Drosophila melanogaster: one gene and its partner. Changing the gene in region 2 together with the main gene of any one other region gives a genetic interaction. Each region holds a gene or a part of one and is shown on either strand. Other genes may lie near its edges.

The links.
Region 1: of kni (region 2) and Acsl, changing one enhances a phenotype caused by changing the other (phenotypic enhancement), as found in Drosophila melanogaster (one study listed by BioGRID).

What each region holds. Positions count from the first base shown.
Region 1 is NT_033778.4:8,673,865-8,681,597, reverse strand, and holds the start of Acsl (Acyl-CoA synthetase long-chain), read right to left. Parts: upstream 6,029-7,733; 5' UTR 5,890-6,028; intron 5,522-5,889; exon of another isoform or gene 5,264-5,521; intron 5,127-5,263; coding exon of another isoform or gene 5,126-5,126; coding exon 4,991-5,125; intron 4,380-4,990; exon of another isoform or gene 4,264-4,379; coding exon of another isoform or gene 4,003-4,263; exon of another isoform or gene 3,937-4,002; intron 3,633-3,936; coding exon 3,570-3,632; intron 3,169-3,569; coding exon 2,730-3,168; intron 2,671-2,729; coding exon 2,464-2,670; intron 2,453-2,463; exon of another isoform or gene 2,388-2,452; coding exon of another isoform or gene 2,162-2,387; intron 2,105-2,161; coding exon of another isoform or gene 1,770-2,104; exon of another isoform or gene 1,645-1,769; intron 1,587-1,644; coding exon 1,112-1,586; intron 1,050-1,111; coding exon 877-1,049; intron 814-876; coding exon 550-813; intron 489-549; coding exon 213-488; intron 148-212; coding exon 1-147. Other genes in the region: CG30355 (uncharacterized protein), read left to right, coding at 1,770-2,104, 2,162-2,387; UQCR-11L (Ubiquinol-cytochrome c reductase 11 kDa subunit-like), read right to left, coding at 4,003-4,263.
Region 2 is NT_037436.4:20,691,806-20,696,070, forward strand, and holds kni (knirps), read right to left. Parts: upstream 2,752-4,265; 5' UTR 2,652-2,751; coding exon 2,637-2,651; intron 2,536-2,636; coding exon 2,458-2,535; intron 2,243-2,457; coding exon 1,031-2,242; 3' UTR 525-1,030; downstream 1-524. UniProt on the Drosophila melanogaster protein: Transcriptional repressor. Binds to multiple sites in the eve stripe 3 enhancer element. Plays an essential role in the segmentation process both by refining the expression patterns of gap genes and by establishing pair-rules stripes of gene expression.

The DNA of each region.
Region 1 (7,733 bases), on a different chromosome or scaffold from region 2:
CGTACATGCGGTTAATATCATGCTGATATCTGTCCTGGATATCCTTGCGCTTCAGCTTGAAGGCGGCGGTTACCAGCCCCATGTCCGGAGACCAGACCTCCTTACAAAGTGTGATGGCGGCGGGAACCTCATATTTTTGCAATTTACCTTTAAGATTAAACAATTTGCCATTAAAAACTTTGAAAAATACTCAAATCTGCATCGTAGCTTACATTTCCGCGCATGCTCAGCAATTTCCTTGAGAATAGCCTTCTCTATGATCGGTGATGAGCACAGCTCCTCAAAGGACTTATCACCCAGGCCATGTTTCTGTGCCAGCTCCTCCAAATGGTTTTGGTTGGGAACGACCAGCGCCACTGTGTACTGCTTTGTCGGATCTCCGTATACGCAAATGTTCTCGATGATTCCGCAAGTCTTAAGCTCAGATTCAACTTTGCCAAGGGAAACATACTCGCCGGCCTGCAGCTTAACCAGATCCTTCTTACGATCTGCAAAAAGCGTATTATAATAAAAAAAATGAAAGAAAAAGCACTGTGCTAAATAACTTACCAATAATCTTAAGTACGCCATCAGCTTGTATTTCGCCAATGTCGCCGGTTTTAAACCATCTCTGTCCATCCTCCTCAAAGAAATCCTCGTTGGTCTTGCCGGGCAACTTGTAGTATCCCTGGGAGACACACTCGCCACCAATGAGAACCTCACCCTGGGGATAAGGTTTATTTGTGACGCGGTAGTTGCCTTCTTCCCAGTTGACTAGACGGATGTCGCAGACAGTTAATGGTCCTCCAGTGCGTCCATAGGTCATATCACGGTCTTGTATTGGGTATAAAGTTATTTACTTGTTTTCAAAAGAAAGGTCGATCTGCGATCACTTACAGTCCATGACAGTGGCTCCAGACGTAGTTTCCGTAAGGCCATAGCCCTGAATCAGCTCCAAGCACAAGCAGGTCTTGATCTGCTCATGTGTATCTGCTGACAGAGGCGCTCCGCCAGACATGATAATGCGCACTTTGCCACCCATTAGCTTTGCCACCTTCTTGAACACCAGTCTGCAAGAAAAATAATAGTTTTAGTTAGCAACTCATGATATTTATGAGCACACCGTTCTTACTTATCAATCAGCGGCGTCTTGTACCCCCTCTGCACCCACTTGACTTTGTACTGGTAAAGGAATTTGAAGAGTGATTTCTTGAACGCCGAGCCAGAGTTAACCTTGTCGTTAATACCCTTGGAAATGCGATCCAATATCAGCGGCACCGAAGTCATGCAGGTGGGCTTCAGGACGGTGGCATCGCCCTTGCACCCGCGTTTGATCTTGCTGCTAGTGTCGATCAGAGTCAAGGGGGTCGAGTAGCCAATTGGAACGCCAGTCATGAGACACACACTTTCCGCAACCAATTCAAAAACGTGAGCCAGGGGCAGGAATCCGATCAGTACATCATCCGGATAGATAGGCACCATATCAACAAATCCCTTCATTGTCGCAATGCAGTTCTTGTGCGAGAGGAGGACACCCTTAGGTGTGCCAGTGGATCCGGAAGTGTACATGATAATGGCAATGTCATCTCCCTTGGGTGGAACGTGCTCTGTGGGATACAAAATAAAGTCAATTAGTACTAGTTTAATATTTAACAAATTCCTTGCGCATAGCACGCTATACATATGCTGTCAACATTTCAGTGCTGAATTAAAAGCGCATACTTTCGGTAAACAGAAAGAACTCTTTCCAAATTGTGTAGGGTGATTTTTTAGTTCAGACACCATTCGAAATGGCTGAAGTCCTAGAGGAATTCATCACCCTAACGCCCTTGACTTGTGTGCAACAATGCAATGCTTTACTAGGCTCAACATCAGGAAAGCCGAGAAGCTGCTCCGTATTTTTTACACTATTTGGCGTATACTGCGGCGTTCTCATCTTTCGGGCGTATCGCACATATTCCTCTAAGCAAGAAAGAGACGAGGAAAAGATAACCGAAGGAGTTACCCTTGAGGCTAAGGAGGAAGATTTGATCATAGGACCTGGTTCCAGTCTTGTGAACGAATATGTAGAACAAACGAAGCCGATTCTGTTGCAACCCGTCGGTTTTTCCAGTACTGACATGAGGTGAGAGTTGTAGATTAAAACACTGGATGACCCATCAACACATTCTGTCTCGATTAGATGGCGCTATTGCAACCACTTGCCGGAAGCAGAATTAGCACAAGGCTCTGATAGTGAAAACAGATCAACCGAAAGAGATGACATTGATAACCTCGAAAGGATGAGCAATGTTGTGGATGATAATGATGCGCAGAAGCCGGTTGCATCCACATCGATGGCAACGGCTCGGGCGCCTGAGGATAACGCCGATGGTGAACACGTCGAGCCCACACCATTTTCGGTGTGAAACACGATGCATTTTAGCAAATTTATCGTGTAATTGACATAAATAAATCATCTTTTAAGACCCTTTCAAAACGTACCAAATTTACTGTCCTGTCCTGTCTTGACAACTTGGTTAAACGGCAAGATCTTGACGCCCTCCTTGAAGCCAGTGGTTTCTGTCTTTTGCAGCTGATCCTCAATATAGATAATAGTCTTCACCAATGGGCATTTGTCGAGCAGCGTCTTAAACTTGGGCAGCAGATCATGGGAGGTGATAACCGTGGTGACTTCCGTTTCGGTGATGCCTGGCAACAGAGCAAAATATTATTTAAAAACCATACACATGGTAAGCCAATTTACTCACAATGAGCAACTCCATCATCGCCCAGCGTAGCATAGACAGTGACAATGGGCATAGCCTGCTTAAAGCATCCGTGGGCAGCTATCATCCATTCGGCTCGCGTTTCGGCAAAGATGACAATGTTCTCGCGTGGTTTCTGGCCAAGTTCTCGCAGACCGCGCCCGAAATTAGCCGCCGTGCGCTCCGCCTCGGTGAACGTCTTCCACTTGTAGTCACCGAGGTTGTACTTCTTGAAGACTCGACCGTTCTGCTGCACCTCATCCTCCTCGCTGAGGATCTGCCGGGTGCCCAGACAACGCTTCGACGTGTAAGTTTTGGCCACATAGTTGAATACCTTCTCCAGGGTATCGATATTCTCTTGCAGCATCTTCACGTGGACATCCCGTGGTGGATCCGTGGTCCGGTAGGTCAGCTCATTGTCATCATTCCGCACGATCTTTGCCTGGAAAATGAGCGAATTCGTGGCGATTAGTTTAACGTCGTGTTAGAGGTTGCGATTTAAAAAGAAACGCTAGATTAGGGGAGGGACCACAAAGTAGAATCGACAGAGAGATAACGGACATGTGAGTTTTCGAGGGTTTGTTGAGGTGAGGGCCGTAACTCGGGAGATCATGTTTCTTGGACCAACACCAAAAAGAGTCTCCAAAAAGGGGATTCAACTCTGGGTACGATCACCAACCAGTACCTGGAACATTCATTGTGCGTGTGTGGTGTTTGTGTGTTGTATGGGGGTGCCCCAATGTATGTGTGTGTGTGTGTGTGTGTGTGTTCGTGTAATGTGTGTATGTTCCATAACAGATAGTATTACTAAATAATAAAAAAACACATTTGCAAAAGTTAAACCTCAATGTCATCCGGCGCGTACTTGGACTCATCGACCAACATTTTCTGGTTAATGGGCTTGGCCTGTAGAGGAAGGAGGAGTTGAGATATGCGATGAGAAGCTAGTTAGCTGTGGTATTGCATAGAGTTACTGATTCCCGATTAAGGCATTCAACTCGTTTTACTTATTTTTTCTAAAGATTATGCAAACTGCACACAAATGAAAGCGATCTTAGATTCCGGCGTTGGCGTACCCTTACTAACCCATAAACCTTATCAGCCGACTGAAAAGGCCAACCAAAATGCGTTCCATTTAGATAGTGAAAAGTCAGATAAAAGTGTACCTCAGGTGGGACTTTTCCTAAACGAGTTATAGCTGGAAATATTTATGTTTTAGTTTGTTTCCTTTATTTAAGTGCCAATTTTATTTTTTTAGCATTGCTAGAATTTGAAACTATTTGAGTTTCGAGAAGAGACTGTGAGCAACGCAATGATCCAATTCAGCGACGAAGTCGAACAATTCCTCCATGCATGTCTCAGTGGTTTTGGACTTGCCATTCACACGATCATTGCACTCTTGATACTTGTTGTACAGGGACGCAATGTGACCTTTGGCCTGGCACTTCTCCCTAAGGGCTGCTTGCGGATCAACTAACTCCTTTTCGTCATCATCGGCCTTGAGGACAGGCACCAAAACCCGGCTATTAAACGCCATTCCTTAGGCTTTCAGTTAACAAGACTAATTTATTTTGCAGGAAATGTGATAAGCTAACACTCACTTCGAAATATGTTTTTTATTTCTGGGCTGAGAGCTAGGGTGTCTCACTTGCACAGCTCACTATGTGTGAATATTATTTCCATTTGAAAAGAAGGTAGAGATATTCTATGATTTCTTAACTTCATGGTTCTGTTATCAGGACCAACTGCGATTTCATTATGGCCTGACAACCTGTGCACTTGTCAAATACAGCCATGGCTGGAAGTCCTGACATTCGCGGAGTTATAAAGCAAAATGAAAGAAAGTTAATCGGATATGATAATTACCGCATAAAAAGCGAAGCCCTGATAAAGGCGAATAGATTGTGGAAATGGTGGACCTGGTCAATAAATCAAAAGTAGTCATATCTACATAGATTAGACAATGAAATGAACATAAGGAAACCACCTGGCGAGAACAAGGCTCGAAGTAAGGGAAATAAATGCGGAAAAGAACTTAATGAAACTGATAACCGAGGGTGCACTTTTTTAATAAAAACTAAAACAACTCGATTGTAGCAGGCCTCTGTACTTTGGAACGTGCAGTGCAAAGTCGAAAGTATTTCAACTACACGATTCTAGAGATAGTTACACCCCTCGTCGCACCGATTGGCCGGCTAAGTCTGTGGCTTTTTCCATTCGTTTCAACTAGCCAGATTAGTGGCAAGTCCTGTCAAAGCACTCACCTTCACGCGACGCGAGTCCTGACGGCGTTTCCAGGGCTTCTGCAGCACCAAGTAAACCGGAAGGGTGATGATGTCGTAGACAAAGGCGATCGCCTTGATCGCGCCAATAGCGCTCTGCACCCAGAAGCTGTCCATTCTGAAAGGGCAATAGAAATGTCAAATTAGTGGCCAATTGGTATGCAAATTTCAGCGGGGTATTTCAACTATTGCTTTCCCCGCCTCGTCAAGTATTCGCCCGGTTGACTCCTGCAACCATTCTCCCATTGCACCCACCCACTCGTTGTAGCGCCGTCGCAAGCCGAAAACCAACTGATATCACCACCTGCTGCTGCTGCCACTGTTAGTTAGCAGGTCTTAAAAGTCCGACGGCGGAAAAGGGGTAGACACTCTCACGCTCACTTTGGTTCTCGGTGCTCAGAAAACGCTTTTCAAACGGCCGATAACCGGTGAAGAGCTCTGAAGGTGTTCGGCTTTTTATCAGCTACAGATTGCTTAGCACTAACTAACGCGCCGAAGCCCGGACCGCTAGTAATCATCACTCTTTCGCGGCACAGAATTCTGCCATTGTAATAAACCGAAACTTAAGTGTGTGTGTCTGGCACTCGTCTGGACCCTTTTATACGTCCGGCATCTTATCTGCCATCTAAAACCAATCTAGTTGGCTTGCCAAGTACTTCATAAAACGTGTCAAAAATCAAGGGTATTTGCAATATATCATTGATTTTGAAGCAATCTTTATGGCCCAAATACTTTATAAAATGATGACCCAATTTTGGGGAAATACTTCCTAATTTTTCCAACGGCTAAATTCGGCTCTATTCTTAAAACTCTTATCTTTAGTTTATTTGTGTACTTATCGACAACCGAAAATAACGAAAAGATTTGTCGGGAACTCTTACTTTCTTTGCAATTCCATTAGGACCGCCGTCATTTTAAACGTTCTTGTCACGTTATTTATAATTAAAATTGGACAAAAACCTCATGCCAAATATTTTTAAATTTTGATTTATAATTATAAATCTGAACGACTGCCACCAGAACACTAGATAAACTTATTATCGCAATGCCTAATTAATTAAAACACTGTAAAGCATTTTACTAAGAATTTCGGACGCTGATTACTGATTATCGCTCGATGGCAGACTAAATGGAAAACCAGTTACTAGTAGCATACCAAGACCATACTAAGATAGAAGCTAGTTTAATAGGAAACGAGTCATGCTGAGATTCGCACTTAACAAATATCTATATATAATTATATAATTGAATATTATATGCCGGTCGTGGCATACATACATACATATGTGTCACTTTTTATAATTCCTAGTTGAAAACTGCACACTTGATAAAGACATCGTGTGTGAGTGCTGGCCTGATAAGCAAATCGAACGAATGCCTTGAACTTGGCTTGCGCAAAATGGCATGACGTCAATTTCCCGGGCCAATGAGCTTAAAAGGTTGCGCGCTATGTCAAAAGAAATTTAATAAACCGCAAATAGAATGTTTAAAGTTAAGAGGTGAAAAGTCCATGTGCTAAGTGTCAACTCATTAAAAAAAAATACCCCTACATTTGAGACTCAGCGTTCTTAATGGAATGCAATACATTAATTATATTTCCCAACTCCAAAAAATCCACAACCACAAGCTTACACTGAGTGATGTACTTATGAAATAAAAATACACAGAAAACGGGCTCAAAACTAAACAGGTCTTATATAATAAATGTGTTTACTTACTGCGCATCGTCTTCGATGAACATCTTGCTGCCTTTTCTCTACTTGTCCGATCTATGAATTAAATGAGTGTTTTTTGATCGGTAGTGAAAATGGTGGGTGTGAGGCGTATCCTCCAAAAGAGCCCAGCTCTGATTAATGGCAAGAACAAACGAACAATGGACGCAACAATAATACAATAGGATGATGTCAGTTGTTCCTCTCCAGATGTTCAGTTTGTAGTTTCACCTGCAACCGATAAAAGAACAAATATATGCATTTATGTAGTGCTAATGAGGTAGGACGACAAATGGGGAGCGACAGCAGACGAGGAAGTCATGGAAATCAGCATTGCTGCATTTAACCGATACCAGAGCGTGTGATGACATAATAACAAAGCACCTTTGAGCACACAGAAAATAACATAATTCTATAGGCTGCTATCTAGCTTAGGCTATATTATCTTAGTACAGATAGTAATTTCCCAATTGCATTCTTAAAATAGATTATCATAATCAAACCGCGCGTAAATATATTTTTTTCCAATTAGCCAACTGTGCGGCCTTCGTAAATATTATAATCAAATCAGAACCTGAAGTCCAAACAAGTTGTTGTTACGCTTTCGGTATTTCTGGATACTTGCCAGAATATCGAAACGCTGATAATAAGAACATAAAAAGCGATTAAAGATATTATCAACAGAGAATGGGGTGTATACCTATAGGGAAAATGTAAAATTAGGCTGCCAAGAGAGCGATTGCGTAATCGGATTCTCAACCCCCTCAAAATCACTCTCTCTTTCATTTCGCCCATTAGCTAGGCGGAGAAACATTGGCATAGGTCGGGGACATCAATAGAAACTAAACAAATTCTTTGGCATTCATTTACACAACTTACAAAGCGCTGTTTTTGCTATTCGTTTATAAAAAAAAGTGTTGAAGGCAAGGGCCAAAGTCCGACGCACCAAGGTTTATCCGCTCTGAAAGCCGATACCAATTGGTTCCCTTAGAATCTGCCCGCCCTGATAAGCA
Region 2 (4,265 bases):
CGTGGTTAACGAACATCGAGCCAAAGACACCGCCGATCAGATATATGTATATGGATATATGCTCGCATGTTTGAACAGAACTGATTTTGAAACAAGAGCGGTAGCTGAATACGTAAATAATTTATTGGCTTTGATCCTATAGGAATGTGCGGTAGCCGACAAACTTCGTTGATACATCCAGCAGATACATCCGAAAGATAGTTTGCACCAGACATATAGTCCATAATAATGTGCTTAAACAAATCAGAAGAGTTCGTTAACTTTAAGGTACAACGAATACGTTGTATGAGTATTTTTAAATAATTTTCTTAAAGTGTTTGTTTTGTAATTAAATACACTTTTCTATGATGTCACAACTAAAATTAAATCAATAAAAGCAACACCGAAGTAAACGTGCCGTGGAATTAATGAGCTTCAAGACGACATTGTAAATAAGTTAGTTCAATTATCCATAAGCAAAAACTTCAAATATGAATTTGTGTATTCTGAAATACACCGAAAAGCATTGGAAACGACAAAAGTTTAATTTTTAATAGTTTTTATTTTTCTTTGTATAAAACTAAATGCCAATCTTTAGACATACCATAACTAGGACTATAATAGAATAAAATACTTAGAGACAATAAAGATCATTCTTAGACTTAACAATTTGTATGTACAATAGCATTTGAGGGTGGGAATGATTACTACTTCTACGGCTCTTCCGCCGGCTAACTTTAAAATACAATTGCAAACAAGCTCAAAGATATATTTACAATTTTAACGTTTTCATAAAAAATAATTTTTGGATCCGAGCTCAATAGGTGAGTGTGAGTGTGTGTGTGGTGGTATATAGGTGTATGTGTGCGAGTGCAATGCAACTACCTGGTCAGGCTGTCTCTTTCCAGCAAAACCTGTCTGTCCCTATCTCTTTCCACTTCCCTAAGTGTGAGCGAGCACACGAATAAATTTACATTTTCTTTAAGTAACAAAAAATAAACAACGAGGGTTTTTGGGGCGACTCCTCCCACTTGGTTTTTTCGCCGTGTACTTAGACACACACGAATATTCCCCTCATGGCACTAGCCGCATTGTGGGCCACCGCGAAGCCACCGAAGTGGGTGGCCTCTGCACCACCTAGCTTCTGCCGCTTGACTTCCGCATGGGCGGTGGTGGTGTTCGGTGAGTGGGCGGCGGAGTGGGAGGAACTGCTGCTGCTGGTGGTCAGGCACTCGGCCTCCAGTTGGTAGAACTTCCGGCGCGGAGCCACCTCCACTTCTTGATCCTCGGAGCCGCTGTCGTTGAAGCTGTGCACGGAGCTCCGCGAGGTCTTCATGCTCAGATCCATGGGTCCTTCTTGAGCGGAAACGGTGGGAGGATGCACTGGTACAACGCTGGTGGTTTCGCCGCCAATGGAGCAAACCGAAACGGGCGACAAGCTCTGCATCTTGGCCGCAAAACTCAGCGGGCTGCTGCTAGTCGGAGTGGTTGGCGTGGCTCGGATGGCAATGGGATGCAGGAGGCTTGCGGACGACTGATGGCTGTGCACGGAGTGAACATCCTCCTCCAGGCAGACATCGATGGGCGACTGGCGGGCCGAGGAGGTGGGCTGCACCACTGGTGGCTGGCTGGCGGGACTAAAGCGGTTCTGCGACTCAACGGAATCCACGCTCTGGCGGTGCTTGTACATCTCCTGCCGGTAAGCGGCATCGGCAGCAGAAGCCGCTGCAGCGGCAGCACTTGCATGGTAGCCTGGGAAGAGGAGGTGTGGGGGCAGCTGGAAGGGCGACTGGTGCGGTACACCGCCCATCATGCTGAAGAAGGGCAGGGCGGCGGATGGGTCGGACAGATAGCTGGGATAGCCCAGCAGAGGCATATGTGGATGACGCGGCACCTGCTGCTGCTGCTGCTGCTGATGATGGTGGTGCAAATGGGCGGCCATGTCCCCAAATCCGGGAGTGTGTGGCGAGCCCACCGGGGAAGAGGCCGACGGGGCACCACCCACCGATACGCCACCCGCTAATGGAGGCGCCTTGCCCGCCGCTGCGGCGGCCTGTTCGTGCTCCTGCAGCAGACAATGGATCTTGAACCAGTTGGAGCGACGTCCGTAGCGGGATCCCCCCTTCGACATGCCCACGTTGTAGCACTTCCTCAAGCGGCACGCCTTGCAGGTGGTGCGGTTCTTCTTGTCGATGATGCACTTGCCCTCGTTCTTGCACTCGCTGATGGTGCTGATGTTGTTGTAAGAGCGGCCAAAGAAGGACTGCAATGGCGAAGGGAAGGACGAATGTGGCTTAGTTATGTGGTATGCAACTCATTAGCAAAAGAAGAGCAGAAATTCATTCAAGAACTTAAGGCCAATGGTACAACGATTTGAATCGCCGATGGCCTGTTCCTCGAACATTTCTAAAACTAACCCCTTGGGGGGTTACGTTCTGCTAATTTATTTGTCAATGGATTTCTTGAGACACAACTTACCTTGCAGCCCTCGCAGGTGAAGGCGCCAAAATGGAAGCCCGCCGCCGGCTCACCGCACACTTTGCATGTCTGGTTCATCTGGAAGATTGTAAAGAAATCCCGCGTTAGTAAGGGTTTAATCCACTGGTCGAGAGGTATATGTGTAATCCACAAGTAGGCGAACGGCTCTGGACACTAACCAAGTTGAACACCATTTTGGAATGATATTTGTTGGAATTTTGAATGCTTTTCTCACGATCGCTGTGAGGATCTGCTGTATGATCTGTTCGCTTGGAATGCTGCTGAGCAACTGATGCTGAGCTCTAGGCGGGCCAGGATATATATAGGAAACTGGGAAAAACTAGACAGGATGGGCGTTTTTTATGATCACAACAGGCCAAAAAACTTAAGCTGCCGGATTATGCAACCCTATGCGTTCATTTTCATTTTTTTCGCGCTGTCCAGTCATAAAACTCAGGTAGATTTTCTTTTTTATTCGAAGTCATTACGAGTGCTGCGAAAATAGTGTTCCCTAAAAAAATGCAGCAGCAGTCCAGACCTTGACGTTCGGCCATAAAAACTCACGCCGATTTTTCCCGAGTCAAACAAAAAATAGAAAATTCGGCTTATGAAAATTGTGATTTTTTTCCCGCTGCCTCGGGACGCAAAAAAATAAGGAAAAGATGGAAATGTGGCCGTTAGTTTTTCGCGTGAAACAGTAAAAAATAAAAGTAGTGCACAAGGGATCGTAAAATTTGCCGACGGCCGCGACCCAAAAACAAGAACCGTGAATTGACTTTGATCTCATGTTGTCTCCCTCGCTCAGAACTTACCTTTTTGCTTTTTTTTGTTGGATGGGCACTAGGTTTATGACGACTTTTTAATTGCAGCGATTCGCGATCGTTGCTGCACGTTTTCTCACTTTGGCAGTTTGTGTCTGTTATTTTTTTTTTTTTTGTTTTGTTTTCGGTTTGCAAGCACTTTTCGATCAGTCTGAGTGATTCAGGTTTTCAACACTTTGATTATAATTTTGGATACGATTTGATGTGATGTATGGTTTTTGATCGCCGAAACAACGCGGTTTGGGAATCCTCGATGTGTGTAACTGACACTTCGGCTACTAGCTGACGACTGATTTCTGGCTGAGAGGTTCGACTGGCAAGAAGCGTTTCTGTGTTTCGCCTACTGGCCGAACTCTTTGGCTTATGTACTCGCACTCACACCAAAGCAAACTTACCAGTTTTCAGCCCCAGCTCTCTGATAAATCACGGCTGAAACCACCACCTTTAAGACTCGGATCGAGTGAGAGAGCGATCGAGCACGCACACATGCGCATTGAGTTCGAACCCCACTCGAGCGAAATGTTAGCAGAATGTTAACGCTCTGTTGTTGAATGAATAGAAAACACTCACTCACTCATTCAGATCTCACGCTCAGTCTCTCTCTCTCTCTCGATTTTGAGTTCCCTGTAATCAGGCTATTTGCATGGCCCTGATATTATTCGTTATTCGTTTATTTATTAAAGATACTCGCGTGCTAAGGGCGGCTGGATTTCTCACTCACTCGAACACCACACACACACACACACACCACATTGACTAAGCTATTGACTTCATTTTTAACAGCTGCTCATTTTTTTGGCATGGGCGGAGCCGTTTTGGCTGCTCGAAATCGAAATGGTTGGAGGCCAATTCGCTTGGGGTTTTCTTTTCAAAGTCCGCCGGTTTTTGGGTACATTTAGAGTTGCCTGTATGCCTAACACCTAGTTTGATTTTCAAAACCTTTTTCCGCGGGAAATATTCCCACTTTCTGTGTGATTCACAAACTGA